Alligator mississippiensis: one gene and its partners. The protein of the gene in region 1 interacts with the protein of each later gene in a pairwise test. Links are inferred from orthologs where the notes say so. Each region holds a gene or a part of one and is shown in the gene's direction. Other genes may lie near its edges.

Region 1 (6,884 bases):
CAATTATCCATGATTTGTAGTACTAACTCAACTGATTTATGTCTATTCTGGCAAAACATTACTTAGTTTTTCAACTACCTAAGTGTTTTTGTGTGCAGGATTGCCTTACTAAAAGGGTAAAAATCATACCTTGTCAGCTAAAATGGATGTTGCAAGTTAAACAGACATAAATAGGGAATATTGAATAATAGTGTATATATAGCCACATTCTCCCCCCAAACCTCTGTTATTTCTGAAGAATAAGTTTCATTCTGATTTGCATGAGGATTTCCTGTAAAACCAACTGTGTAATCCCCAACAAACTTTTAGCAGTTCCTGAAACAGAGATGAAACACACAAAACAAAACAATGCAGTGTGCATCTTTCTTTCTGAAAGTCTTAGACTATTCATAGCAGTTCTTGATACTAGCACTTCCAGTTTATTCAAATAAACTGTCGTATGCTTATTTCAGTAATTATATTACTTTTAAAATGCATTTTGTATTCACTAAAGCAACAAAAATAATTCGGGGTGTTATTTACAAGGTCATGCAATCATACTTTAATTAAGATTGCAAACAAATAAAATATAGAATTGCACTCAAATACCTTCCCATATAAGTTTCTGTTTAAAAGCATTGTTTAAAAGCTGAAGAGAGTTCAAAAAAGATTCCACTAAATAAAACTGGTAGATTTAAAGAAAAGTTGAGAATGCAGTTTTCTCCTAACCTTTCAGTCAGAAGAGCAATTTTTTCAGTACAACAAACAATTTCATAATAATAAATGCAGAATTACCAAAAACTCAGTTATTCTGACTTCATTTCTTAGTAATATTTAATGGACTTTTACAATACCAGTCCCCCAAAATGGATATAGGGTTTTAAATAAATATAAATCAATGAAGACATTTTACACCATAAAAACAATGTGGGTTATTCTCTTTGTTGATACAAAGTGAAAATAAAATGTATATTTAAAACAGAAACACTGAAGTATAAAATGTCTCTGGTATGAAATTGGAACAATAAATATTTTATGGTTTTTTTCAAAAGAAGACCAAAAATGGCTTTTTTCACATCCAATAGCATATTCTATTTTTCTGAATTTTACCTGTTTCACAAAGCAAGTTATATGAAGCAATTATGGCTTTAAAATCTATTGCAATTGTTTTAAAGTTCAAATAGTATTTAATTAATCAAATCCAAGCAAGCAATTTTTTTCTGGGCAGAAAGGTTTGTTGTGTTACTCATTATTACTTATTGCTTTTCACACTAAATTATCTTTTGAAATTCCTGCCTGAAATCAATTTTTTTTCATACAGAAATCTTATTTTAGGTAATTTTCAAGGTTTATAAGTCTCCTCTAAGCCCTGGACAGTAGGACTAAATTACCTGGCCTCACAAGAAAAGAGAGAAAAGAAACACTTTCTTAACACTTTAAAACATTCTCGAAAATATTTCTGAAATCACAGCTAGCTTTGTAAAATGTGGCATCTTCATAATGTAAAATGGTGTAACATTAAACATTGTTGACTCATTCAGTTTGGTAGCATAACACATTTATGTTTTCAGTAGTCAAATATACTGAGATCATTACAAATTTATGTAGAGAAAACATTTATACCATATAGAACCATCACATACATTCTTGAGCTGGGTAGGCAGAGTGCTTTGAGGAGGAGTTTTATGAACTGTCTGCAGTGGTTCTTAATGAAATATTAAAGTTGCAGATTTCAATACAGAATAATTGCCATGGAAATGAAAATCCCAAATAGCAACATTATCCCTCCTGCATCCATTAGTAAGTTGTACACTTAAGTGTTTAAAAGATTGAGTGTCTGGTCAGGCAGACTCCAAAAATAGGGTTCCAGTAGAGTCCAAGCTAGAATTTTAAAATATCTAGAAATCTTTTTGGAAAGGTGCCAGCAGGTATGTGGCTCCTCTTTCATGCAAAGAGGGGGAGAGAGAGATTTTACATCCCATGTACCTGTGGATTTGAATCTGGTCCAAAGTTGTTCAGGAAAAAAACAGTTCAGTAAAAAGGTCAAGAATGTTAGTTAGAAAATTCTAAATATTAAAAAAATGAAAAAGAGGTAATGTCCATGTAGTTATGATATTATGTCAGTTGTGCATATCTAAAATTATTGTTTAAAAGAAGTTTTATGTATATTTAGATTTTTAGCTCATTTTATTACATACCTTAAGTTCTGAGCTTTCTAATTTTTGCTAGGATTTGTTCTAACAAGTTGTCACTACCTTTTGCAAAATTAACATTACATTTAACAAAGTTTATTGTATAAGACTGCATATTTAATTTTAAAAAATCAGATTATAAATCAGGTTCCTGCAGATCCTTCAGTGCTTGCATGGATTTCTGCGAAAATTGGTACACAGGACACACAACTTTGTTAAAGGCTTCCAGATCTCCATTGGTGTAAGCTGACCCTTCTGGAAGATGAAGCCAGGGGTCTTTCTCAGCATCCTCATTCCAAGTGATGCTTTGAAACCACTCAGGAACAGGGATGGAGAGTGCCAATTTATTAGTCTTCATCTTTGGCATGAACCATTGAATCCATACCCCAAGCTTTGTTTCAGCCAGGGGACTTAATGACAGCTCAGAGGACCCATGAAATAAAAAAAAATTTACAACAAAAAACTGTTTTCTGTGCATGTCTCTCGGACCCTAAGTCTTTTAATCACATAAGATCTTATGTACATAAAACTGCTAAGTCAGCTTCAGCAGATCAAGACCTAGGTACATAACATCCTATATACCAGTGGCTTCTGCTGGTAAACAGAAGGAATTGTTATGCATAGTGCCCTTTTGGCAAAAGAAGTGAGAGATTCTGGGTCTGCCCCGCTCCCCCCGTGGCCTGTGGGCTGTAAACTCCAGAACCGCCCAGCGGTTCCTAGACGCATTTGGTGGAATGGAGCAGCTAGGGCCAAGGGAGAGGGTGAGCTGCCGATACCTGGCCTTTCTCACTTGCAGTGGGAGAGCAGATTGGCATCTGCATTTTTCCGTGGAAAATATTTCCTCAATTTTCCGCAACCCACTTTGCCCAAAGCCTTCCCTGCCTCAGCAAAGCGGTCAGCCTCGAGTTCCGTCCCCCCGCCGCCCTGCGGGGTAGGGGCTCCTCTTGACCGTTTTGGCTTGCACAAAACCGCCCCCCGCCATGATCTCGCAAGCCTTTATGGGGGGGGGTATAGAAATCTAATCAACACAGTAAATAACTGCTGCATCTGATACATAACTCCAGCAACACAATAAATAATTGCTGCATCCTATTTGGTCTAATAAAAGGTATCATTTCTGAACCAATTTTTGCACCTGAGTAATGAAACTTCCTGCCAGGACTGGCTCTCCTGGGAGATTGGTGCATGGAAAGTCTCAAGCAATGAAGATTCAGCAGTATTGATTCCCAGCTTGTTTGCACAGAGCTTCCCCAGCTGGGCCATCAAGCATTTTGGGTTGGGTTGGGTTTTTTGTTTTGTTTTGTTGTTTGTTTTGCGGGGGTGTTACAGGCAAGGCGATGCTGCAGGCGGTGTTCTTGCAGCGCCGAGCACTCGGGCAGGGCGCACGGGGCCGGGTGGGTGCCTGCCTCCCGCCTCGGCGACCCTCGCGGTATGCGGCCGCCTTTGGCAGAGGCACATGAAGGATTTCATTGAGTGTGAAGACAGAGAGCAGAGACAGAAAGCAGAAGGAGGCGGCCGCAGCCTTTGTAGTCCCGGAGGAATGCGGAAATGTTGAAGCACTATGTCAAACTTTTTTGAAACGGGGTCAAGTCACATTCAGCCAGCGTGGGAAAGCCAGGGGGAGGGAGGGAGGCGCTGCTCCCAGGCGCGGAGGGAGGGAGGGAGGGAGGGAGCGGGGGCCGCCGGGGCCGGGGCCGGGGCCGGGGCCCGGCCGGAACGAGCGGCGGGGAGGGCTGCGCCAGAGCCCCGCGCAGGGCGGCTGCAGCCTGCCGGCTTTGATCCGCTGCGGGCTGCTTTAACACGGGACTTTCTCTCTCTCTCTCTCTCTCTCTCTCTTTCTCTGTGTCTCGGGCAGGGGCGGGGGCAGAGCAGGCCGGGCTCTGGGGCGAGCCCGAACCCCCGCCCCGCGCGCGAAGGTGCAGCCCGGCGGCGGCGGGAGGATGCGAGCGGAGGGCAGCGGAGCCGGGGAGGAGCTGCCTCGCTACCTGTGTGGCCCGGGCCGGCGCGGCGGGGACCTGCCGGGGACATCACCATGTGAATGAAGGCCGGGTGCCCGCTCCGGCCCGTGCTCCGCACAGCTGCATGGGAGGCGCCTCACAGGGCACATTCCTGCCCGCGGCGGCGGCTTAGCCGGGCTCTGCGCGCCCCGCGGGGCGGCCCCAGGTAATGCGGGAGGCTCCACGTGCTGCCCGCACCTCGCGGCGGAGGGGGTGGGGGGGTCCCCGGGGCTCCACGTGCAGCTGCGGCCGCCGCTCCCAGGCCTGCCCGGGGGCTTCCCCGGGGCGCCCGTCCGAGGGGGCCGCAGGGGCTCCGGCAGCGCCGCGTGGGGCCGGGCCCGGGCCGGGCCGGGCGACGGCAGCGGCGGGGACCGCGAGGCTGCTCCCTTCCTCCTCCCCAAACTGCCCCACCACAGCGCTGAGGTGTTGGACCTGGTGCCCCGCACCCGCCGCTCAGGGCCCTGCCTTCCCCGTGGGTGCAGAGAAGGGCTCTCTGTTGCCTGCAGGAAAGGGGGTGTGCTGCAGCAAAGGGCAAGGCAGGTAACATGGCAGCGAGGCACAGGCCTTGCCTTTAACGGGCTGCAGGAGGGAGCCGCCAACAGGTTGGCAGAGGTCAGGGGTTGTTCGCGGCACCCTGAAGTTGGAAGAGCACAACGGTATAAAGTCAGCTCTTCTCTCCAGCCTCCCTGGCCAGGCAGGGATGGTGTTATGAATTCAAATACTACTTCGGACAACCCCAGGCTTGAGATCAGTGCCCTTTTGTGTAAGTTTGGTAGTGGCCCGAGAGAGTTGACTATCTCTCTGGCTGCACCCGTCGCACGGGGGGGGGCGAGAGGAGACACAGAGAGGGGAGAGGACTTGCCGAAGGTCATGCAGCAGGTGGGTGAAGAAGATGCTTTCCAGGCAGTCGTTGTTGACCAGGCTGGTACTCAAGGCTAGCTCCCCTCACCTGTCCGGTCACACGGTGCTCAGCACAATCCCACTAATCAGTCTTACAGTATTGAAAATGCTTGCACTGCTGTTTGCATTTACCTGATTACAATTATTAAGATTACATATTGTAGGAAACACCTCATCACAAAATACTTAGCAATATATGCTCATGGCCATATTTTTCCTCTCAGGCACTGCAAGGCAGGAACTGGCTCTTGTTATATATTTGACTGCTGCCTGGCACACAGGGAAATAGATTTGAGATCAGGACTTTGAAATGCTATCTTAGTTCAGATAGGTAGTTGATAATAAATTGCTGGGTATAGCCCAAACATTGCACCATAAGATGTTCAGCAGACTTGTAAATTGTACACTCTTGATCGTAAATCCCAATCATGCATGCTCTGCTATGCATCCTGTCTATCATAAAGTGGTGTGTATCCCATTGTCTGGTGTTCAGTGTAATCCCAAAGCATACAACCGATCCACTTAGCCCTATCGTAATACTATGTGCAAACCATATTAACCACACAGTGTTGTGCTTACAACTTAACCTATAATGTCATTTATACATCTATAGTCCTACTGTGTTCCACATATCCTCACTCCTCTGCATATTATGTTTTGTATATACCCATTTAATCCAATAGTGCACAGTAGTTTATTTTTTCACAATTATTAAACCATACAAAGTAATGGTGAAGTGAAATGTGCATGTTGTGGGCTGGAAGGGAGGCAACCCAGCACAAATGAACCTCTCTTGCTTTGTTTTTGTATTTTAGATCATACTGACTTTACACAGACAATGATCCCAAAGGCTGTACGATAATTGCTGAAGAACTGCCAAGAAAGAAGGCACTTTGAGGATTGTACTGAAGCAGGAGAGGGGAGCAAGGAGGGAGACCATTCAACTTGTTCCTCTAGTAGTAGCAGCTCTGCATACACTTTTTGTGGGACTGTGTCAGTGCCATCGAAGTCCTAGTTTGCAGGCAACAGCCAGTTCAGCAGTACATCTGAGACTTCAGGGACAGAAGGAGAAGCTGTGCCAGCATGGATAAGGACAGCACGAACCTGACTGACCAGCAGTATGAATGTGTGGCTGAGATTGGCGAAGGAGCCTATGGGAAGGTATTCAAGGCCCGAGACTTGAAGAATGGAGGTCGTTTTGTAGCGTTGAAGCGGGTACGGGTGCAGACAAGCGAGGAGGGGATGCCGCTCTCCACCATCCGTGAGGTGGCAGTACTGAGGCACCTGGAGACCTTTGAGCACCCCAATGTGGTCAGGTGAGGAGCTGGAGTAGGAAACTTGGCTGGTTCTAGATTTGCTATGTTAATTGGGCAGACAAAACTTTGGGTTCATGGATGGGAGTGGGTGCCAGTTTGGGTGAATTTATGGAGTATTAGATTGAGTACATGAAATATTGCAGAAGGTTTAGCTTGCCAGACCTCACCTCATCCTTTTGCTCTGTTTCCCCCACATATAAATGCCCATTTCCAGAGGTATAGATGTGTTATTTAAGTATTTGAGTGAATAGGCAAGGAACCATAGAGACACTGTATGCCTTAGGCATAAGCAGGAAGAAGGAAAAGGGAGCAGTTCTTTTGTCTTGGGGATCAGCTCTTCCCAATGGAACAGATTTTTGCTGCCCTATTCATTATAAAAATGGGAGTGGATATTGTAATGTTGGCAGAAATGTACCAGATTTACTCAAATACAAGGCAACCCACCCAATTCTTAGATTCTACACACAGAAAGTGTTATAAATTTGTTATAATTTTCTGTG
Region 2 (7,634 bases), on another chromosome or scaffold:
TTGCAGTATTTATCTGGTTGCCATGGGACTGGTTTTTACTACCGTTTCAATTGATGTGCCAACTTGAGGCATTTGTGGCATAATATATGAAAGGGACACCATTATGAAAAATTCCTCTTTTAGGTTTTTAGGTGGGGGTTCGTTCTCACATGATTAACTTTGAAACCGGAAGAAATCACTTTGAACTGTGCAAATGCATTAAAAACGATAGTGATTGGGCATAGAAACTGTCATTCATCTCAGGAACAGCAGATTCAAAACAGAAGAAAAACATAGTGGCTTAACCTCTGTGGCAAAGCAGTTTCAACTAAAAAAAATCAAATTCCCTCTCATGTGATGCAAGAACAAGCTTTTGTGATTTTGCTCATCTTTATGTGTTTTCAGCTGTTATTCTTTTGCAGTTTGTTTGTTTGTTTGTCTGTTTGTTAACTAAATTGGACAACGCTTTCTGCTTTTTCATTGTGATGGGTCTGAATATTGGTGCTTTTATAGGTGTATATCTGCTTCTGAAACCAGAAAGGGGAATTCTACCATATATGCCTGTAAACAACAATCTGGGAGCAACAGTCCTTGAACTAAATAAGTGAGTAAAAGGAGGTCATCTCTTTCCCATATCACTTTCAATCTGTTCTTATTGATTATGACTTCTTGCTGTAGCATTCAGTTTAAGAAATGTAGATACGGGGCTGGATTTTCAGTTATATTCAGGTTCCTTCACATTGCTCTGAAATTGTAAAACAATTTTTCAGGCCCCTGCATATGCAGCATTCTGGCCATAAGGACTTTAATGTACAAGAGAATCAGGCAATAATATTATTGGTTAGTTAGTTGTACCCTGAATCTGGCAGAATTTCCATTATTTTAATATTCACTACTGATGCTCTTAAAATGACTTCCTGGTGACTAAATATTCAGTACAACAGCCTCCTTATTTTTTTTCCCCTTTAACTGAGATACACTGTGACTTAATTATCTGAAAAGATTATGCTCCTTTTTACTAGGTCTCTCTAAAATGTATACATCTTGGTTATTTCTAAGATTCTTATGACTTTAAGAGCTAAAACAGATTTTAAATAGAAAGTAATAAAGTCGCCAAGAACAAGAAAATGAGCAAAACATGGGAAAGCCAAAGCAATGGAATCATAAATACACTATTAGATAGGTAGGACTGTCAGAACTAAATTCAGTAGGGACCAAATTCTGCTCTCTGCTCACACTAAGCAATACATTATCCTGCATGCCAGTGGAACTGCTTTCAGAATTCAACCACTTAGTGGGTGCATCTACGCATGCACTTTACTGTGGAGTTGACTAATTATCTCTGTAGTAAAATTAATTAACTCTGCCATAGGACAGTACTGTTGGAAACAGTACTATCTTACAGCATAGTAATTAAGCCTGCTGCCAGCCTGGGACTGTTTCTCCCCAGCTCAAACTGCTGCTGTCTCAGGCGCATGTGTAGACTTCTGTCACCTTAATCTCACATGTAGATGCACCCAGTGTGAGCAAAAGGACATAATCTTGTCCTAGATTGCACAGTCCTGTTAAACAATCTGCAAAACATTGCAAATAAATCTTCAACAAACTAAATTATTTGTATTGGCAATGCTTCCTGAATATGTCCCATTAGACCTGTCACATTGTAACTGGTAGAAATAATTGGCTCCATCTATCAGTGGGAACCAAGTCATATCTTGAAAAAATGCACGTTCCTTTACAAAGGGATAGAGTCAGAAAAGAAATAGTAGTTTTTAGTCTCCCGTTTAATCATTTCATGAGAAGAGAGGTGTAAATAACAGATTTTATGGTGTTTTGATGAGCCGCAGATGAACACCATAAGTGGTAAAGTGCTGTACAAAACAGGGAAAGCATTACAAATTCCTTGAGTCATCTGAGAGAAGTGCATATGTATCCAAGAAGCCCAGGCTGTGGTATCAAGGGTTCTTATTCCCCCACATGTCTCTACATAGATGCACATGCAATGGCATAATGTGGCTTTTATTTCCTCAATGTGTTTGTATGACACTTAGCAAAGGGGAGGGGGGCCTTAGGGTCTCTAGGTACTACTGTAATGTAAATTAATCATTTTCTGCCTCCTTCAGTAGGGTTCATAATGTTAACCTAATGAAAACTGGAAGATTGATGTAGACTAGTCCAAAACAGCACATTGTTATTGTTGGCTCAGTAAGAGCTGTTTTTATTTTCAACTTTTATATTTTCTGTCTCAAGATCCTTAACTACAGAAGTGAAGAATAGCTGGGATAATGTCTTCATCTAAAATACTATTTTCTCTTTTTAAAAATATCCCTATCCCATCTCCTCTCCTGGATTCCCTCTAGTACTATCCCTGCAACCCTACAACTCAGTAAAAGTGGTAATGTAAGAAAAATGTTGTTTTCTCACCATTCAGTACAGATCAGTTTCTCACTGGAGTGAAAAGAGAGATTTATAGACAGTGGCTGCATTTTTTTCTAGTCACCCTGGAAAGAAGAGAAGTAATAATACCCACTTTAAAAAATAAGCGACTCTCCCTGCCCACCCCTCAGTTTGGGGGTGGGGGATGTCTGGCTCTCCAATCCCTCCACTTTACAGTGGGATTAGATTACACAACCACATTGAACAATTGCCAGCAAAGGAGCTGTCCTTGGTGCTATCGACTCCCCCAAAGATCCCAGCCACTATCCTGTCAAGGAATGTATCCATGGTTACAAATCCATTTGATGAATGTCCTAGCTGTCAGAACTAAACTGTGTTCTCTTTCTGTCTTTCACCCTGTCTGCTGACTCTCCCCATCTCTCCCTTTCTCTCTGACCCCCACACTTCAATATTTTTAAACAAAAATATTTAAAATGTGCTTTTCCGGCCTTCCTTTCCAAAGCTACACATTATATTTACCTTTTAAATGCTGCATATAGAAATGTTTTCAGCTAATATATGCTACCTCATGAAACTTGTTTGAACCTTATTTGAACCTTACTGAACCTTTAAAAATATGTTTTTTAAAAAGTGAAAAAGTCCTCCCTATGAGCTCCCAGTAAAAGAGCTCTTAAGCTTGTCTCAACTTTTTCATGACAAGCATATCTATGCCATCATATTTCATTGTATTTACATGAATTCCCTTTATCTTTATCACCTTAGGCCAATAAACTTGCTGCTTGCCAAGCTCCCATATGTTCTGCTAGGCTGAGAAGTGAACAAAATCTTGACACATGAAAGTGAAACTTGAGTATTCTCCAACAGCTGAATTTATTGAAAAAATTCAAAATCTTTCTTAGTCTGGCTTTTTAAAATAACGAATTTGGGAGGAGAGGTAGAGACATTATTGCTATGACAAGATCCCAGCTGATACTGAATCCCATTGTATTGTTTCCACCTACAATCACCTCAACTGGCAAGACAAAAGTAGAAGGAAAAACCTATAGGTAAAGTACACATTGCATTGCTTAGTGGACTTCTGGAAGGTACTCAGAAGTGATGCAATCATGAAAGGACCTGAAGAAAAAAAGCCAAGGGGGGAAACAGAGCAATGACCCGGCTTTTCTAAGGATACAGATCACAGCTGAGATCTCCAGGGTCCTAATCCAGGCCCAGAATTTGAATCGCATAGAGTTGGAAGGGACCTCAGGAGGTCATCTAGTACAACCCACTACTCAAAGCAGGACCATCCCAAACAATCTCATTCTAGCCAGGTCTTAAAAAACTCCGAGGATGGAGATTCCACAACCTCTCTGGTAGCCTGTTTTGCGCTTTATTATCCTCCTGGTGATAACATTTTTCCTAATATCTAACCTAAATATCCCTTGCTGCATCTTGAGACCATTGCTCTTTGTTATCTGCCACCACTTGAGTACAGTCTAGCTCCATCCTCTTTTGAACACCCCTCAGTCTTTCCTCATAAGTCATGTACCTGAACCCCCTCACCATTTTTGTTGCCCTCTGCTGGACTCTCTCCAGATATAGCCTCACCAGTGCTGAATAGAGGAATAATCAGTTCCCTTGATCTGCTGGCAACATACCTACCAACACAACCCAGTGTGCTGTTAGCCTTCTTGGCAATAAGGGCTCACTGCTGGCTCATATTCATCTTATTGTCCACTGTAACCCCCAGGTCCTTTTCTGCAGAGCTACTGCTTAGCCAGGTGCATGGGATTGTTCCCTCCTAAGACTTTGCACTTGTCCTTATTCAACCTCATGAGATATCTCTTGGCCCAATCCTCCAATTTGTGTAGGTCTTTGTGAATCCTAGCCCTACCCTCCAGCAGATCTGTTCCTCCCCCCCACTCCAGCTTCATGTCATCCGCAACCTTGTTGAGGGTGCACTTGGCATCCTTCGTCCCCTAGGGCCAACGAGATAAGAGCCCAGCCAGTGCCAGACTCCGCCGGCCCATTCCCAGAACCGTTGCTTTAAATAAAGCCTCTCCGAGGGTGTTCTCCCCGGGCTTGGGGCTGTCAAGGCGCGATTAAGCCCGGCCCAGGAGCAGAGCTGCCTGTGTGGCAGGCAAGCAGACAAGAGCAGTGCAGCGCCCAGGCCTGCCCCGCCCGGCGCTGGGCCGGGGGGAGGCACCGGGCTCCAGCCGTTCCAGCGCAAATCTTCCACCCCCTTCGTGACCGCGCTGAGCGGCGGGGGGAGGGGAGTGGAGCACGCTCCACGGCGCATGCGCTGGTACTCCTGAGTCCCCAGCTGTTCCCCTTCTCTGTGACGTCACAGAGGCGGGCGATTCCGAACAGGCGCTGGGTTGCAGCGAGGGCGGGGCTCGGGCGCGGGCGGGGCGGCTTCGGCTGCTCAGGAAAAACAAGCCGGGGGCTGGGGCTGGGGCTGGGGCTGCCGCAGCTTGGCAGTGTAGGGTGAACCGAGGCGGGCTGGCCCCGAGGAAGCCTGGCACAAGTGGCCGGGGGGGCGCCCAGAAGAGGAGTCCTCCTGCTCCAGCCCCCCCTCGATGTGAGGAATGGGCCAGCGCAGGGGCATGGACCTGGGGCACGAGCTGGCCTCTGCCGCGGCCCAAGGCAACCTGGCCAAGGTGAGGGAGCTGCTGGCGCAAGGGTTGGACCCCAACGGCCTCAATGCCTACGGCCGGACCCCGATCCAGGTAGGGGCCGCGGCGGGAGAGCTGTCCCCAACGACTCCACTCGGGATCCGGGAGGCAGGAGCCCCCATGCCGCAGCCGGTGCCCCACCCTGCGCCGCTGATTCTCTCGGAAGGAGGCAGCGATCGCTGCTCAGCCAGCTCCGGTCGCGGTCCGCGTTGCTCTCGGTCCAGGGCGAGGGGGTGACAGCGGCTCCAGCTCTCGGGGGGAAGAGACGCGCGATCCACCGCGTGGAAAAGACAGCCGCGGTTTGCAATGCAATTTAAAAACCAAGTGAGCTGGGATCGGAGCCCTGCAGCCCCCGGGGCACGGGAGAGGAGCAGGGGCTTCGGTTTCCAGGCCAGGAGAAGTGCTTTGTGGGGGGTAGGTAGGAGACCTGACCCAGCAAACCCCGGCGTCCAGTAGCTGCACGCAGAGCTCTGCCTGTGCGAACGGGCTCCATGCGGGAGAAACTGCGCCTGTCTCGGCGCTGGCAGATCCCGCGCTCCAAGCCCTGCAAAAAATGTCCTGGTTTCTATGTGACTGCTCCGCAAGAGGCAGCGATCATCCAGGTCCGGCGCCAAAGCGGAAAGTACTGAACAGGCAAGGCATCTAGCCCGGGGCAGAAAACTTCGAGATCGATTAAAAACAGGACTGCGATCTTTGAAAGCAGTTTTACTTTTAATAATCTATTGTCCTTAGACTGAATTGATGACTCAAACCCACCACTCGAGCTCGTGTTTCAGGCTGCCCTTTCATTACAAGCGATCTGCCCTTCGAGGGACAGGTCGAGAGTGATTTCTGCACAAAGCGTGTACTGAGCCCAGCTAGATAGAAGCGAGACAGGAGGCAAACGAAATGGGGCTTCCCTGTGGGGCCCGCGGGAGCCCCTCAGTGCGGGGCAGGACCGAGGGGCCGCAGGCGGGGCAGGGTGCGTTGGTCTCGCCTGCTGATCGGGGCTGCAATGGGCAGGCTCCTGGCCAAGACGCCTAGGACACGGTCACCTTAAAAAGCAACAAGTCTCTAACCTCTCAAGTTTGAAGGTTAGCCCAGATGTTTTAAGCATGTATGTGTTGTGTCATTGGGGGGTGAGGGATTCTGCATGCCTTATGCTCTGTACTTGTCAGGAGTTCGTGTTCAAAGTAAACGCTTCGGAGTCAAAGCAGCTGGGGCTAGTGCGGGGTAGAGCGAAGGGCCCGCGCTTCCCTGGGGATCGGGCCGAGCTGAGCTGAGCTCGGGCCGTAGGGCAGGGAGCCGCGGAGGCAGGTGGCGATCTCCGCGGTTTCCAAGTGGGGTGGAAGGCCACGACATGCGGCACAGCCCCAGTCCCTGCCCGCAGGACAGTCAGGGCAGAGATTGGAGGCAGGCGGGATCTTCCCTACGAGCGTCCGGATTTTGGTGCCCCGACCCCTGCAGCCCCCACTCGGGTCCTGCGGCTCCGGGTCGTGGGTCCCAGCAAGGGAGGCTCTGAGGGGACCCCATGCGCACGCGTGGGGGGGGGGGGTGCCGCCTGCTGACGGCCGCTCTGTGCCCGCAGGTGGTGAAGCTGGGCCACACGCCCCTGGTGGAGCTGCTGCTGCGGAGCGGAGCGGACCCCAACCGGCCGGACCCCGCCACCGGCTCCCGCCCTGCGCACGATGCGGCCCGAGAAGGCTTCCTGGACACGCTGGTGGCGCTGCACCGCGCCGGGGCCCGCCTGGACCTGGCCGACCGATGGGGCCTGCCCCTGGACCTGGCCCGGGAGCACGGGCACCTGCCGGTGGTCCGCTACCTCCTCGCCCAGCCCGGGGCCGCGCCCCCGCCCCAGCCCGGCGCGCCCTGAACTGCAGGCTCCCGCGGCTCTGCTGCTGCCTCCCACCCAGTAATTTATTGCCTCTCTCGGCTGAAGCGCCGAGGTTGTAAATAATGACTCCCGTATCCCCGTGGCAGGGCCCTCGGGGCCTCCTCTCCTTGAACGCGGGCTTGTCTCCGCCGCTGGCTGCCTCAAACGCGCCCCCACACGCTACAGCCGCACGGATTCCGAGGAGAACGAGCTCCCACTTCCAGGAATAAACGACTGGGACCGAAGCCTGGAGTATTTCTTGGCCTATAGTTGTTCCCTCCGAGCACAGAGGACAAATGGCTCCGAGTCTCGGGGGATACAAACATCATATATATTTATATTATTTTTAAAGTGTTGCAGCAGGCCCCACATGACAGTCCTATGCTGCCAAGACTATGGTTGTTCTACAGAAAACCTTGCCAGGCAGTAGAGAGAGCTCCTAAATTCTTGTTTTCCCATAGAAAATGGGGTAAGAGAGAAAAATCTCTCCACCAGAATCTACTCTTCTGTTTCCTTCAGGAAGGGTAGGGCCGGCAGGGGGTAGCTAGTGATTCTGGTCTCTCATGATCCAGTTCTACCTTCTTGTCGTTGTTGTTTCTGCCTTTTAGTTTTTGTTGGACCCGCTCTACAGCTGAGAGAGATCCTTCTTCAGGTCACAAAAGCTCCTTTGACATCTCATCCACCAAAAAAGAGATCATCCCAAACCAAGCACATCTCCTGGAGCATTGTAGCCCTCAAAGTTTAACCCT
Region 3 (7,877 bases), on another chromosome or scaffold:
CTCTTTTGGGTAGAAAACGCAAAGCTTGTTTCAGAAAAAGTAAAAGTCAGCTATATATTTAAAAAATAAATAAATAAATATTCTAGATCAGCAAAATTAAAATATGTTCAAGTTTATTTGGCATTAATCATGCTATTTGGGTCTTGTTTTGTGTTTTTTTTGCATTTCTCTTAACTTAAACAATGAAAGTATATTAATCTGTTTCTTTTTGGCTTCCAGTCAGCCTCGTTTTCAGATCCTAGTATTCCATTGCTCAGTGTTCATATTACAAGCATTGCTGAAGGCTGTCTTTGGTTTAAACAAATAAACTACAAGAAAAATATCTGTGCCCACTGGACATTTACAAAAAAAGAAGTTACCCTCCTAAATTTTGTACCTTAGGTTCAGATTCAAAATTTGATCTGTGTCCCCGCAGTCCCCTTTTACTGTCTCTTTTCTTGTATTTGCTAGGGGAGGAGTTGAAATAATAATAAACAAGGGTAATAAATTAAGCTAGAAAGATGCAGAAGGCAAAAAAGGAAGAGCCTCCCTTATTTTCTGGAACATTAAATAATAAAATGGCAAGGTTCTTTGGGTAGATGTGATCTCTTTTATTAGACCTCCTGTCACACTTTTAGCTCGATTCATTCCTTGGCGATCTCAGAAGAACAACAGAGACTCCCTATGCCTGAAGAAGGGTGCTTGTGCCTGAAAGCTTGCAAAGAACATCTTTCCACCTACTCAGTTGGTCTAATAAAAGATATCACATCTACCCAAAGCACCTTACCTGCCTATGTCCTTAGACCAGCACAGCTACAACCAAAAACCCTGCAAATAATAAAATAGCATTTTTATCACTGTGTTGTTCATCGTTTCATAGATGTTAGGAGCTGGAAGGGACCTTGCTCCTGATTATTAATATAAAGGGAGGTCCCTTCCAGCCCCTAACATAGTTTTATAGAGGTTAGGATTAATATTAATCAGGAGCATCTGGTCCAGTTCATAGTTGCTCTGCTCCTGATTATTAATATAAAGGGATAACGGTACTCAAAGTGAATGGAAAATTATTGCAAGGGGGGGGGCAGGGGAGGAGGACGTTCCTAAAACTGATGCCAATCGCTTTTTTTGATCAGATCGCTGCCTTTCACAGGATGGCAACAGCACTAAGAGCAGCACAGCACCCCCTCCAGTACAGAGCGTGTGGCTTCCAGCATCACATACTATAACACTGTGCAGCAGCAGCAGCAATAGGCGCCGCTTTCCCGAGGAAAAATGATTCCCACGTGAGCTGGCAGGATGACGTTGAATTTCCGCGAAAATCCAGCATGGTGCGGGCTGCAGCTGGACTGGAGACATCGCTGCAGGGAGTGATTTAGACACTGGGAGGGGGGAGGATCTTCCCCACAACCTTTCCAGACACTGGTGTCAACTTTATAAGGTGTTGGCATACAAAGATATATATTCTGACAGCGTTTGATTGAATCATTTATGCTCTGAACCCGCCAAAAGAAGGGAGTGTGTGCGCGAGAAGGGGGTTTCTTTTTTTTTTTTTTTAGGGGGGGATGGGGGACTTGCTATTTAACATATGGCACTCGATAATCTCCAAACTGAGACTGTTAAAACATCTGCTGTCTCAAAATGTGATGTATTAAGAAAGTAATAATAATAATAACAGCCTAAAAACGGATTGCCCATGGGCATAAAGACCACATTACGAACCAAGTGGCTGGTGCAGCTTTGGTCTGAAACTGAGCAAGAAACTCCCAAAGCAGTGAGGAGAAATGACCTTTTTTTTTTGCTCCACAGCACAGAAGTGCGTCTCCGGGTGTAGGCATAGCTGCAAGCCCCGTGGCCACCCAGAGTCAAAACAAAACCCTCATCTCGACCCGACGGAGGAAAATGAGAACCACACGTTAGCGGCTCAGACATGAACCCGAAAGCAGGAGCTTGGACTTGGTGGCTTGCAAGGAAAGGTTGGGCAGTCCCTGCCCTGGCATGAAGTCGGGTAACTCTTTGCTCCCAGGGCGGGGAGAGGAGCATTTTTGCAACAACAAAAAAATTAAAAAACAAAAACAAAAAAACTAAATATAATACTTTGAATGAGAGGCACCGAAGTAAGAAAGCTTTTAAAATAAGATTTCTCCCCCCAGTGATCTCGCTTTGATCCTGAAACTGGAGGGCAATATCCATGGGGAGATGACAGGAGGGGGATGTCACCTCGTTTCTTGTCCTGGTGTGTGAAGGACACCCCCAGATGTGTGCTCGTTTCTTTTCCAGATGTGTGCTGTGTGCCCACGGGACCCCTCCTGCCTCTTCCTCCTGAAAAGCCAGCGCCTTTGCAAAGTCACTGGTCTTTCCCCCTTTGTCCTGATCAGTGTCACATCTGTACAAGGACATCCATCTCCCCGCTCCCCAGTGAAAATCAAATTCAAGCACAAGCCCTGGCTTGTTCGGGCTCCCAAGCTGGAGCAGGGCGTTTATGAATTCACTCCGATGAGTTTGGAGAAGGCAAACGTGCCATTGACACAACGCGCTCCCTGTTTACAGGAGCAGGCGGGCAATAGGGAAGGGGGAATGAATGGGGGGAGTTTAAAGAGCCTTTCATTGAGTAGCATGCCGCTTTTTAATAGCTCCTAGTTCATAGACCTCAGTGTATGTGCAGGGGTGGGGAAAGCTCCCTCCCTTTTCCCTTTCTCCAGGGGCAGAATACAATGCGGGCTTTGCACAACACAGCTATGTCCACCGCTTCCTACCGGGGACTTTTGATTGACAACCGCCCAGCTGATGCCATTATAAGGAGGCAGGAGGGGGGGAAATGTAGTGCCACTGCGATTTGTCGGGTGCCTGCATCCGGGGTTTCCTGGATGCGCACCCGGCCGCAGCCCCCTGCTCCTTTGGGGAGGAGCTGGCAAAGAAAATGAGGAGGGTCTCCCAGGAGGAGGGCTCTGCCGGCCCAGCAAGAATCAGCCGCACTGTGGGTTGGAGTCCAGAGGCGGGTGGGTGTTTCTTAATAAAAGAAACACGGGCATCATCGACTCAACATCTGGCTAGTCTGGGGCAGCCCCCCAGCACTGTGTGCTTCTATACTATAATAATATTGATATTGATAATAATGGTGATAATAATAACTCTCCTTATGACTTTATTCCTAAACCATCTGGGGCAACCCTGTGTGCCTCTATTGCTATAATAATATTGATATTAATAATGATAATGACGATGATAATAATGATGATAATACTACTAATAACTCTCTTTATGACTTGATTCCTAACCTGTCTGGGGCATCCCCCCAGCCCTGTGTGCCTCTATGCAAGAATACTGATAGTAATAATGACAATGACGACAATGATGATGATGATAATGATCATCTTTATGATCTCTTTATGACCAGCCCCCCAGTCCCGTGTGTCTCGATTGCAATAATCATATTGCTATTTATAGTGATAATGACGACGATGATAATAATGATGATGATATTATTACTATTATTATTATAGCTGTCTTTATGCCTTGATTCCTAATCTATCACAGCAGCTCCAGCCTCAGGGCAGGCTGTTTCGGTTTGCCCCGCAGTTTGGCGGGGCTGGCTGCAGGCTCACGCCGCAGTCGCTAATTGCATGGATTTATTGAGTTGCGGGAGATGAAATCCCAATCCCCCCCGACGGGTGAGGTCAGTAGCGGGTGGGTGGGTGGGTTCCCCCCCTTGCTGAGTTTCTTTGATGTAGGGAGGGACAGCTTCTTCCTTAAAATATAATCTGCCCAGTAACAATCAGCGCGCAGCAGCGAGAGCCCCAGAGCTATTGGCTATGCAAATAGAGGGAGGGGAAGCGGCTCCCCAAACTCTCAACTCACACTTTTAAAGTGATATTTCGCTCCTTCCACCCCACCTCCATCTTCCTTGGGGGGAGGAGGAAGGGATCGCGAGAAGCCGGGCTCATCCCAGGCATCATGTATCCCCTGCCTGCCCACCTCTTTCCTTCTCCTGCAGCCCCATCTGCATTTCCCCATAGGACCCTATGGGGTCCAGCTGCTGCAAGGGACCGAGCAAACCCCACGCACCCTCCCCACCGCTGCCTGGCCCCAGAGGGAGAGGGGCGGGGGGGCGCTGTGCGTCTCTGTCCGTAGGGGAAAAGTTACACATCCCTGGGCAACTGGGGACAATGTAAGACACGCCAAAAGAAGCCAGAGCATGAGTGACTATGAAAGCAAATGAATCAGAGCCGGGAAAGCCCAGGGCTTGGCCCGTGCAGCGGGGCAGCGGCCTGGCCAGCAGCGAGAACAGCTGTGTTGCATGCAGCGCGCAGCGGCGAAGGGTGGAAGTCGGGACCAGTCCTCCTCCCCCTTCTCCTCCGCCTGCCCCCCCTCCGTGTTTCCTAGAAAGTTATATCAGCGTGTGAGCATGCACTGGTAGAGCAGCTCTGGGCGACACACACACACACACACACACACACACACACAGTCGAGGAAGCTGCATTGTGGCCACTGCTAGCTCCCTCCAGACATCAGCGTTGCAAAGTATATACAGCCACCAGCACAGCCTCGGGACTCTGCTTTTGTCACCTTCTGGTTTGCCTTTCACTGGCGAGCAAAGTGTGACTGTTGTCTCCCGGTTGCAGATGAGAAGACTCATTTGGGGAGGGGGGAGGAGAGGGGAGCTGGAGAACTGACCCTGTGAGCACCAGCTCCTCTGCGAGAGCTGCACCGAGTAAGGACATTTCCTATTTCACGACTTCCCTCCCCCGCAAAATGAAAGCCCCGGGTGTTTAGGAAGCCAGTTTCCTCTGGCGAGAAATGACTAGAGACCCCGTTTGGCTACTGCGGAGGGGAAGGTTGGAGGGAGGAAGGGGGAAGCTGCTAGTAAGGGGGGGAGAGAGAGTGTGTGTGTGACACACAGTGTGTGTCTGTGTGAGTGTGTGTGTCTGTGAGTGTGAGGCATTGTGTATATGAGTGGGTGAGGCAGTGTGTGTGTGTATAAGCGTGAGATGTGTGTGTGAGTGTGAGGCATGGTGTGTATGAGCATGAGTGGGAGGCTGTGTTCATGAGTGGGTGGCAGTGTGCGTGACCGTGTGTGACACTGTGTGTATGAGTGAGACTGTGTGTGTGACGCTGTCAGAGGCTGTGAGAGACACACATTGTGTGTGTGTATGAGACTGTGTGTGACACTGTCAGAGGCTGTGTGTGAGAGACACACAGTGTGTGTGTGTGTGTGTGTGTGTGTGTGTGTAAGAGAGAGAGAGAGGGGGGCTGTGCATGTCCCCTCTGCGCCGGGGCCTCCCGGCCCTTCGCTACCCCGGAGAGGACAGAGCGCGGCGAGGAAGGCGCCGCCTGTTACGTCTGCCCGGCCGCCGCGCTCCAGCCCCGCGAGCGCCAGCGCTGCCTGCCCCGCCGCCTTGCGTCACTTCGCTTCAACTTTAGGCTAGAAATCGAGGAGAGCGAGAGAGGAAGAGGGGGAGAGAGAGAAGTTTCAAGGGAAGCAGGAGCGAGCTGCCTTCCTCCCACCCACCTACCCTCCTCCTCTACCCCTCTCCTTCCCCAACCCCCGCCCCCTCCCCCCCCAAAAAACAACTTTTCCATCCCAGAAAGAGGGAGCTCTCTTAGGAAACATGGAGCTGCTGTGCTGCGAGGTGGATCCCATGAGGAGGGCTCTCCCTGACCCCAACTTGCTCTACGACGACCGCGTTTTGCACAATCTACTCACCGTGGAGGAGAGGTATCTGCCCCACTGCTCCTACTTCAAGTGCGTGCAGAAGGACATCCAGCCCTTCATGCGGAGGATGGTGGCCACTTGGATGCTGGAGGTTTGTGTGCACCCCCTCCCCACCGCCGCCCAGCCTGGGCCGCCCACGTCGGGGCAGCAAGGGGGCTTCTTTGCTGCCTCTGCCCTCCTCTTTTTTTTTGCATGCTTCTGCTTTGCTTGATCCCTTCTGCAAGAAGGGGGATCCTCCGCTAGGCTCTGTTGTCCCCCCCTTTTTTTACAAGTTGCCCCCACTTCTCTTTTGCAGACTTCTGCTTTGCTTGATCCCTTTTGCAAGAAGGGGGGACCTTTCCTAGGCTCTGTTATCCCCCCCCCTTCTTTCCCCTCTCTTTCCTCTTTTTTTTGCAAGCTCCCCCCCCCACCCCACACACCCTTTTGGCATGCTTCTACTTTGCTTGATCCCTTCTGCAGGAAGGGGGGGAGGGTCCTTTGCTAGTCTCTGTTATTCCCCCCACCTTTTTTTTTTTGCAAGCTTCTGCTTTGCTTGATCCCTTCTGCATGATCTCATTTGCAGAGTTGGGGCTCCTTCCCCTCCATGCTTTGGGGGGGGGGTGAAATGGCGCACGTGTGTGTGTGTGTGTGTGTGTGTGTGTGTGTGTGTGCGCGCAGCCTAAGGGTGCAATAAAAAGCTTGCAAAGAGGGGTGCAAAAAAAGAGAAGGGGGTGCAGAAAAGTGACCGAGCCCGGCCCTGTGCAGCCGCCCAGCCCTTCTGCTCTGCCCCCTGCGGGCCGGGGAGCTGCCCCGGGGCCGAGCCCCGATCCGGAGGGCCAGGGGGTGCCCGCCCGAGCAGAGCTGCCCCAGGGGCGCCTCTGTGCCCACGTATGCAGCGCTCAGGACGTGCCCTGCTTGCGCCATGTTGCTTTGCATGCAGCCCTGCTCCCAGGCCAGCCGTCCCCCACCTTGCTCAGGGGCCGGGGGCTGCGTGTGCTGGGGGGGGGGGGGCATCAGGAGGCGCCCCGGGGCGCTCCCTCCCTCCATCCCCCACCCCGGGCAGCGCTGCCCGCGCCCCCCAGCCGCAGCCCTGCAAGCCCCGCGCTGGGCCCTGCTTTCCTTTGCCCCGGCCCCTCTCTTTCCCCCCAGCCCATCTGCTCCGGGGGGGGAGCTACAGGGTGCCCCCCTAGCGGGCAGGGAAGGGCAGCCCCCCCGCTTGGTTTTCGTGCCACTTCTGCCCCTTTTGCCCCTTGCTTGGATTTTTGGTGAATTTTTGAAGTCGTTCCCCCACCCGCCGCTGCGGAGCCCGTACCGCCCCCGGGCGCGTGGTGGGCGCGGGGCAGGGGCGCAGCCCCCGCGCGGGGAATTTTTTCAGGAGGGGTGCGGGGTGGGAGGGCGGCCGGGGGCGCCAGCCCCGCAGGAACTGGGGGGCTCTGGCCCACGGGGGGATTTTTAGGGATTTTTGGAAAATGTGACGAAATCCGAAAAGGCTGAAAGAAAAGTGGAGGAAGGTTGAAAGAAAATATATAGGTACATGAGCATCATGGGGTTGCCCAAGCTCAGTCTTTGGGCTCCCACACAGTGCCTTGAATTCATTTCTTAGTGAATGAACTGCAGGAATGCAAGAGGCCAGTCTCCCCGCCCGGGCAGCCCTGCCCCAGCGCCCCTCCGCAGCCCCTCTCCCTGCTCCCCTCCATGTGAGCATTCATTTTTTGTTGTTCTTCTTCCCTCTCCACCCTGCACTACTCTTCTCCCGTTCCCCCTCCTCCTTGCTTGCAGGTCTGTGAAGAGCAGAAGTGTGAAGAAGAGGTTTTCCCCCTGGCCATGAATTACTTGGACCGATTTTTAGCTGTGGTGCCCACCAGAAAGTGCCATCTTCAGCTGCTGGGGGCCGTCTGCATGTTCCTGGCCTCCAAGCTAAAAGAAACCATCCCCCTCACTGCGGAGAAGCTTTGCATATACACGGACAATTCCATCAAGCCCCAGGAGCTGCTGGTAAGCAGCCCCCCCGACCTCTACCTTCAGTGCGCCCCACGGTTACAGCCTCCTCCCCCCACTCACTCTCTCCACCAAACTTAAACCACAGCCTTCATTTGTGCCACACACTATTCCAACAGTTCAAGACCTTTCTGCCCCCTTTATGACCATTAAGGCGATTCCTGGAGTGGAAGGCACCCCCCACTTTTAAAGCATTGCATTTTTTACATTG
Region 4 (7,362 bases), on another chromosome or scaffold:
AGTAGCTTATTCCCAAGCTATACAGGTATTAATAACTTGATGGTCCTATCTGTGTAGCTAAACCAGGATTATACTGATATAATTGGGTTAGTTCACAATCCCACCCTAGTATGGAGTAGGCCTTCTTCAGCCAGCTCGTTGCATCTGCTAAAGGACATCTAAGCCTTGCTGAGGTTCTGTTCCCTTCCCCCTCCACATGATATCACCACAGATTAGTTATTTGTACTCAAGTTTGACCAAGTTAAAGGAAACAGAGTGCAATGGTTGCCAATATTAAGAAATAATATTAGGAAATACATCCCATGTGTCAAGACTGCGCTCAAGCTAAACTCTCACTGCAGCAAATGGAAATCTTTCCTAAGAAAAGGATGATTAAGTTAGGAAAAGGACTTCAATGGGCCCTTTAAGGAGGCAGCTGTTTAAGCAGGGTGTCAGGAAAAGGGATTTCTGGGTTTTGTTACCCACTGAACTGCTGTATGACCTTTTTAACTCCTCTGTGAAATAGCATTCACTTCCATAAAATGGACAGAATGTCTACCTCCGGAAGGTGGTGTGGGTTCTTATGTTTAACTAATTCAGATTTCTACAGTGCTTTGAGATCCCAAAGTGAAAAGTTTTGGGGGTATTTCCTACAGCATCTTTTGTATAGATTCACTAATTTGTGAGAGTTTGGTTTTTATGTCTGATATGTAAGTTAATTAGTTTCATTATGATATTACCGATGATGCTTTAGTTGCAATTTGACAGAAAAAAACAGTTTCACGTTGACAGTTCAGAGCTGGGTAGAAGATGGCTGCAAAATATAAGACATCGGAAAGGCAAAAAATGCATGGCTGAGATATTACAATTGTGTCTATGGACAGATGTCACGGGACAGATCTCAGCTGATGCAAATCAGTGTTGCTCAGTCAACTGCGTTACGCCAGGTGAAGATTTGGCACAAAGTGCCCTTGTTATATGAACAGCTTCTATATCACTTTAGCCTTCTTCCTATGACGGTCTGAGCATGAGTTTGATACCAGCTGAGAATCTGATCCGGTAGCCACACTGGCCCTTTAAAAGCTCCTAATCTTGGTGACTCTCTTAAATTCATCATCAGCATACCGAAATAATGATCCCTCTTGGTGATTCAGCAAAGAATAACATTGCTGGTCTGAGATCCTGTAAGTCTAGAAACCCTCAATTTTTTTCTTTTACTCTGAAGGAATTTCCTTTTTTTACATTGCTGAGTTCTCTGCTACTGAGGCCAGGAAGTTGTCTATCTACAGTCAACAGTGACCAAAATTTGGTTTTCCTGGAATTCTCTCCCTTCCCTCCACACACCCACACAACAGGCTTTTCAGGACTCCTGCAGTCTGTAATTTGCCTTGCTAGCCTGATAATGTGGTTGCAGAGGCATCAGTTTTGCTAAGTCATCATCTGGAAGGAACACTTTCTTATGCCACAACCTTCATTTTTTCCCTTATGTCCCCTGTCTACCATTGAGCCTGGCTGCAGCATATTCCTAACCGGCCGAATTAAAACCACCCATGTGGACAGTGAGAAATGTGAGAGAGGCCATTGTGTCTGGGGTATGGCCTGAAACTTTCAATTTCAACAGGCACAGTCCAGACAACACAGGGACCCAGAATCCAATGGGTCCGATGCGGTTTTCCTTTGCTTGGCTAAAGAAAATATGTTTCGATCTATTTTTACTGCAAAACATGGGATTCAAGGTCCTTCTCTTTGCTTGTACAAAACAAAAGATGCTGCCCACAATAAAAGAATGGGGGACATCCTGGATTAAATTCAGCTGATTGGTCTACAAAAATCTCTCTCATGGATTCTTCAAATATTTTGTGTCCGCAGACCTAGGAGGCTTTTGTGGAATGTGAAGAAAAGTTACAACAGGAGGTAGCTTTTACAGTTCTGTCACCCACTGAAATGCCTCTTTTTTCATTTCAAGACTGGGGTTGAATCGGTGTCATTCAAGCCTCCACGTTTTGCTCATCCCTCTACTCCTGTTCCATGTTACCTTGCTATGGGATTTTTTTAATGCAATCAGCATTATAATGCTATGACATTGGCATCTTTAAAAATGACTAGATCCCATAAGTATAAGAGATGAGTACAGAGAGAGGGATGCTGAAGGTCCTTAGGAGAGGTCATTCAAGCTCTGTGAGTCTGGATTGTAGGAACAGAACCTCGCCGTGTGAATTGCATCAAATTTGTAAAAAATGAGAGCATTTGAAAGCTTTGATTTAAAAAGAATATGGTATGTTCTCTTTTGACTGTTCAGATTAAAGGTTTCCAAAGAGGACAAAGCGCCTAAACCAAGGAGTGCAAAAAACAGTTCTGTTCATTCTTGATGAAAAGGTTGTGTTTTTAAATGGCTGAAGAAGCACAAAAGTGTGAGGTGCCTCAATGTGGTAGTGAATGCAGATGGGGATAGATGGACAAAAAGGATCAACCCAGACATCTGCTAGGTCATTTCAGTTTCTGCCTCCTATGATCCCATGTCCATAACTTGTAATTTTAGACACATTTCTAAGAGTACAGGTCACAGTGGATACTCCATCTTAAGACACTGTGCATGACATTGCTTCCAGCACACCCATGTTTTCCATGTAACCCATTTCTCCCAAATGTGGAGGCTTGAATATACATATCCCAAGGCTCCAAGCTTTTGGCCACACTGATCTGAAGGCATCTGCCACTTCTCCACACACCAAGAGTGGACCTTGCACAGTAACGCTGCAGTATGAATTGCTACACGTGACCCTTTGCAAAACTGCATAGTAGGAACTCCTCGTGAGGCATTTAATCCTAGACCGGATAAAGGAGTAGAAAATATGGTAGAGAACAAGATTAAGCTGACCAAGAGTATGACTTAGATCATCTAGAAGTGATCTTCTACCACCAACATCTTTAATTATCTAATTTATTTCTTGCTTCAAATTGCTCATGCACTTGCCATATGACTGCATCATATAGCAGCAACCTGATAGCAACCAAGAGGCTCATACAAGATGACCATTCCCTTCTAACACCGTCCCTTTCAAAATCAATAGAGCAGTTTGCAAAAATTGGCCCTTTGAGGTGACATTACCCAGATTCATTTTCAACCTAATGAAACTGTTTTTGTCATCTTTAATTTTTCAAGCTTGAAGAAACTCCCTTCAGTTGTTTTTCTAATACTGTAACTGTGACAGAAAAATATGTTTTACTATCCCTGTTCTGAAGAGAGAGAAGAATAAGTGGACAACTGCCTCAGGCACTTCTTTAGCTGTTAGGAACACTTGTATTGCAAAACCATTATTCCATGGGGTTAAAAATGCCAGTGCCTTCAAAAATCATATCTACTCAAACTCCCAGCATTGCCATCTCCCATCATAGAAAATGAAGGTCGGGAAGGCACCTCAGGAGGTCACATGTAGTCCAACCCCTGCTCAAAGCAGGACCGTCCCCATCTAGATCATCCCAACCAAGGCTTTGTCAAGCCAGGTCTTAAAAACCTCCAAGAATGGAGAGTCCACCACCTCTGTGGGGAGCCTGTCCCAGTGCTGCACTAGTGTTAGCAATGCCAGGGCAGCTTTTATGGAGGAAAAAGCCAGGTGCAGACAACCCTTCAACATACATGCAGCTGGTTATTCTCAGAACATCGACGGATTGTGAACAAAAATAGCTACAGAGTTAAATATGGAAGAGAGAATAATAGAAATCAGACATAAAAGACTGAAATGGGAACTCTTCTGAAACCTCCAGGATTTACCCGTTTTTAACCCAGTGAATCGGTATCCCGCCATCACAACTCAAGAGCTTTGCAGATCCTGCAATGTGATGGTATGACATTGTGGCTCCAGCAGACCACATGGCTGCCTAGGTAGGACAATACCGAAGAAGGGCAGTCAATATAATGCACGCTCAGAAATTGCAACGGCTGTAAAACCCCTGCAAGCTAGTCCTTCCCATGGGTTTTTCAGTCCAGTCCCTCTCTTTCCTAGCCCTCTGAGCTAGGGGGCTCTGCGTTTGAATGGATGAGACTGATGGGTGGCATTCCTGCACGCTTTCACGCCCCCCACCCTGCACCGGGGGGGGTGCGGGGGGCACCCCTGGGGCAGGGGGAAGCCAGGCCCCCCTCCTCTTGGCAGGGATCAAGGGCTGGGGAAGCCCTGGCATCCAGGAGCCTCGGGGCCGGGGGCAGCCGCCTCAGACACAGCAGCTGCCCACACTACAGAGGTGACCGAACGGGGCTTGCAGCTCCCTGCCCCCTCCCCTGGGGGGCGGGGCCCGGCGCGTCGCCCCGCCCACTTGGAACGTTGCAACTTCCCGACGTTCTAAAAAGCGCAACAGTGGATCCGGCACTAGCAGTGCCGCAGGGGGTGGGCTGGGCTGGGCTGGGCTGGGCCGGGCCGGCTCCGCGGCTGCTGCGTGACCGCCCGCCCGGCCGGCTCCTCGCCTGCAAGCCCCCGCTCCCCGCCCCTGCCCCGGCCCCCGGGCACATGGAGCTGCTGTGCGCGGAGGGGCCGCCCCGCGTGCCCCGGGCCGGGCAAGACCCTCAGCTGCTGGGGGACCGGCGGGTGCTGCAGAACCTGCTGAGCCAGGAGGAGCGCTATACCCCGCGGGTCTCCTACTTCCAGTGCGTGCAGAAGGAGATCAAGCCCTACATGCGGAAGATGCTGGCCTTCTGGATGCTGGAGGTACGGGACCCCCCCTCGGCTGGGTCCCTGCTCCCTCCAGCTCTCTGTGCCCAGCCGCCGGCAACTTTCCAAGCCTTTGCCCGTCGGGGGTGGGAGCCCCACCCCGGCTTCCCTGGAGCCCAGCTCCCTGGGGGGAAGGGTTTGGGGGTGCAAAAGGGGGGCAGAGCTCCACCTTGGGGCCTTGCTGGCTGCAGGCTCAGCTGGTGGGAGCAGGGGGCATAAAACCAAGCCCCCCTTTGCCCTATGGGGTATAAGCAGCTATAGAGAAGGTGATGGGCAGCAGCTGGGATGCCTCCCCTCCCTCCATGAGCTGCAGCAGGCAGGGGGGAAGTCCTGCAGGCAGTATGTGGCAATGCCTCTAGGGGTCCCCCTGCTCCCACCTCCTCCCCGCAACCGCTGCTGAAAAAGTTCCCTGCAGCATGTGGGGCCTTTGGATGTGCCTGGTGGATCACGGGCTTGGGCCCATCACGGAAGAACTATAATCCTCCCTTAGGAGGGAGGCCGCAGCGGACGCATCGGGGCAGCTGAAGAGAAAACGGGGATGGGAGTGAGGTCCCAGGTTTAAAACTAGTGGTTTGATGTGGGGGAGTGCGGAGCAGAGCACACCGGACAGTGCTCTGCAGCGTGTCTAAATGCTTGGAGAAGGGTTTGTCAGCGCCCAGGGGAGAGCTCAGCTAGAAGATGCCAGCCACCCACTTCCCCAAACACAAAAGCGAATGCAGCCCCCACCCCGCATGACTCACCTGGACAAGGAAAGGCACCAGAGCCACTTTTCCCTTGTCTTAATTAAAGAATGAAACGCCTCAATTCAGAAGCAAATGGGAGATATAAAATGTGGTTGAATCCAGCCAGTCATTCTCTCTACCCCACTGACTGTTGCCACACAGTACCCAGTTACCTTTAAAATAAAAGAAGTGCTCAGCACTGCCTTTTCTATCATTGTTCTGTCTGTTAAAGCCCCTTCCCTTGCCATCGTTTCTTGGCTGGAAGCTGGGTTGCAGCCTGATCCTATGAAGTGCTGGAGTCAATGGCAGCAGAGGGCCCTCAGCTTCTCGCAGGACTTGTCCCAAAGAAACGTCAGTCCCTCTAGCTTCTGATTTTAAAGTGTTTGAGCAATTAAGACCAAATCCAGGTCCTATTGAAATCAATGGCAAAACTTGTATTGACTTCAGTGGCACCAAGATTTAACACTAATTTTTATGATGATGATGATAATTTTATTTTTTCATTACAGGGGGGAAAAATGCAAGCAAAATTAAACCTCTGAAGTATGAGCCTGACTTTATTTTTTAAAGAGAGTCTCTGTGCTGGGGGTTTATGTCAGCCTGTAAAAGGTACATAGGGAAGCAGAGTTAACATTTGAAAGAGAAGGATGATATTAGTTGCGGCATGAGGGAAAACCTCAGTATTTTTGTAGCTACGGTAAAAGAAGGAAGTACATTTGATCAGTGTTTCAGTGGTATAGTCTTGTGGCTAGGATTGAAATTCAGGACTCCTGGATCCTGTATTTGACCATGATACAAGTATGGTATGCACAGAAAGGAGCTCGGAGCTTGGGCAACTTGGGTTCTCTGCCATTGACTTTGTGACATTGGACAAGCCACCTCATTTGGGTACCATCACCCTGAGGTGTCCAGCTTGAGACATGCTGGGACTCACTTCAGAGGTGCTGAGTCCTCACAATCGGTGTGAGCAGGAAGTGATCAGGATCACTGGTAATCGGGCTATAGGCATCTCACGTCAAAGATGGAGGCAGTCACAAGACCTTACACTTTTATACACACACACACACACACACACACACACGATTGTGGTCTCAACCTCTGCCTCCATTACACCCATGCTACCATTTTTCCTGCCTGCCATGTAAAGACAAGTAGTAGTGTTTGAAGGCATCGGGCTAAACTCTGTGCTCGTGTCACACATGAAGTGTTGAAGTTACAACAGCAGAGAATTTAGCTCTTACTATTTAAAGGTCTTTCTGATCACCAGATATACAGCTGTACAGATGTGTAGTGTACTGTAATAATCAGAAGCTTTGAAGTCCTGCTGCAGATAGAAGCTGCTGAGTTCTGCACATCTAAAGCCTCCTCTCTTCTACTTGGGTTTTGTTAGGTATGTGAGGAACAGAAGTGTGAAGAAGAGGTCTTCCCCTTGGCCATGAATTATGTGGATCGCTACCTATCTTCAGTCCAGACGCGGAAAAATCACTTGCAGCTTCTAGGGGCTGTCTGCATGCTCCTGGCTTCCAAGCTGCGAGAGACCATGCCCCTGACTGTGGAGAAACTCTGCATTTACACAGACAATTCCATCACGGCGCAGCAGCTCCTGGTAACCACCCCACCCTGCCTGATAGAGCCCTCACCTCACTCCCTGCTCTTTATACCCTCTAGGTGCTGCTCCCTGGCAACATATGTGCATTGTGGATCCTGTCTTCCTCCTGTTTCTCCCATTCAGCCTCTTTGCTTCCTAACCCAAGTGGACACACTGCCTTTCTGAGATAGACCAGCACCCTTCCTCAGACCTGCCCCCCCTGCAGATGTAGTGGTGGTCTCCCATTCTGCCCGCTAGATGCAGAATTGTGACACTGAAGTTGTAGAAACCATTCTCTATGCTTCAGTGCACATCCCATCATTGAGCCTCATTGTGTCCCATGTTGGGCTCTGTGCCTAGCTTCCTTAAG

Evidence for each region.
Region 2: the proteins of CDK6 (region 1) and CDKN2B interact in binary tests that used the Homo sapiens proteins (3 or more experiments, as listed by UniProt). The link is inferred for Alligator mississippiensis from reciprocal best matches to the Homo sapiens genes CDK6 and CDKN2B.
Region 3: the proteins of CDK6 (region 1) and CCND2 interact in a two-hybrid assay, tested with the Homo sapiens proteins (2 studies listed by BioGRID, with this or other methods). The link is inferred for Alligator mississippiensis from reciprocal best matches to the Homo sapiens genes CDK6 and CCND2.
Region 4: the proteins of CDK6 (region 1) and CCND3 interact in binary tests that used the Homo sapiens proteins (3 or more experiments, as listed by UniProt). The link is inferred for Alligator mississippiensis from reciprocal best matches to the Homo sapiens genes CDK6 and CCND3.

What each region holds. Positions count from the first base shown.
Region 1 is NC_081828.1:175,267,293-175,274,176, forward strand, and holds the start of CDK6 (cyclin-dependent kinase 6), read left to right. Parts: upstream 1-3,869; 5' UTR 3,870-4,334; intron 4,335-5,883; 5' UTR 5,884-6,151; coding exon 6,152-6,384; intron 6,385-6,884. UniProt on the Homo sapiens protein: Serine/threonine-protein kinase involved in the control of the cell cycle and differentiation; promotes G1/S transition. Phosphorylates pRB/RB1 and NPM1.
Region 2 is NC_081826.1:175,502,672-175,510,305, forward strand, and holds CDKN2B (cyclin-dependent kinase 4 inhibitor B), read left to right. Parts: upstream 1-4,811; 5' UTR 4,812-4,946; coding exon 4,947-5,087; intron 5,088-6,600; coding exon 6,601-6,885; 3' UTR 6,886-7,130; downstream 7,131-7,634. UniProt on the Homo sapiens protein: Interacts strongly with CDK4 and CDK6. Potent inhibitor. Potential effector of TGF-beta induced cell cycle arrest.
Region 3 is NC_081827.1:142,428,042-142,435,918, forward strand, and holds the start of CCND2 (G1/S-specific cyclin-D2), read left to right. Parts: upstream 1-4,877; 5' UTR 4,878-5,585; coding exon 5,586-5,780; intron 5,781-7,447; coding exon 7,448-7,663; intron 7,664-7,877. UniProt on the Homo sapiens protein: Regulatory component of the cyclin D2-CDK4 (DC) complex that phosphorylates and inhibits members of the retinoblastoma (RB) protein family including RB1 and regulates the cell-cycle during G(1)/S transition.
Region 4 is NC_081837.1:39,028,673-39,036,034, reverse strand, and holds the start of CCND3 (G1/S-specific cyclin-D3), read left to right. Parts: upstream 1-4,345; 5' UTR 4,346-4,481; coding exon 4,482-4,679; intron 4,680-6,794; coding exon 6,795-7,010; intron 7,011-7,362. UniProt on the Homo sapiens protein: Regulatory component of the cyclin D3-CDK4 (DC) complex that phosphorylates and inhibits members of the retinoblastoma (RB) protein family including RB1 and regulates the cell-cycle during G(1)/S transition.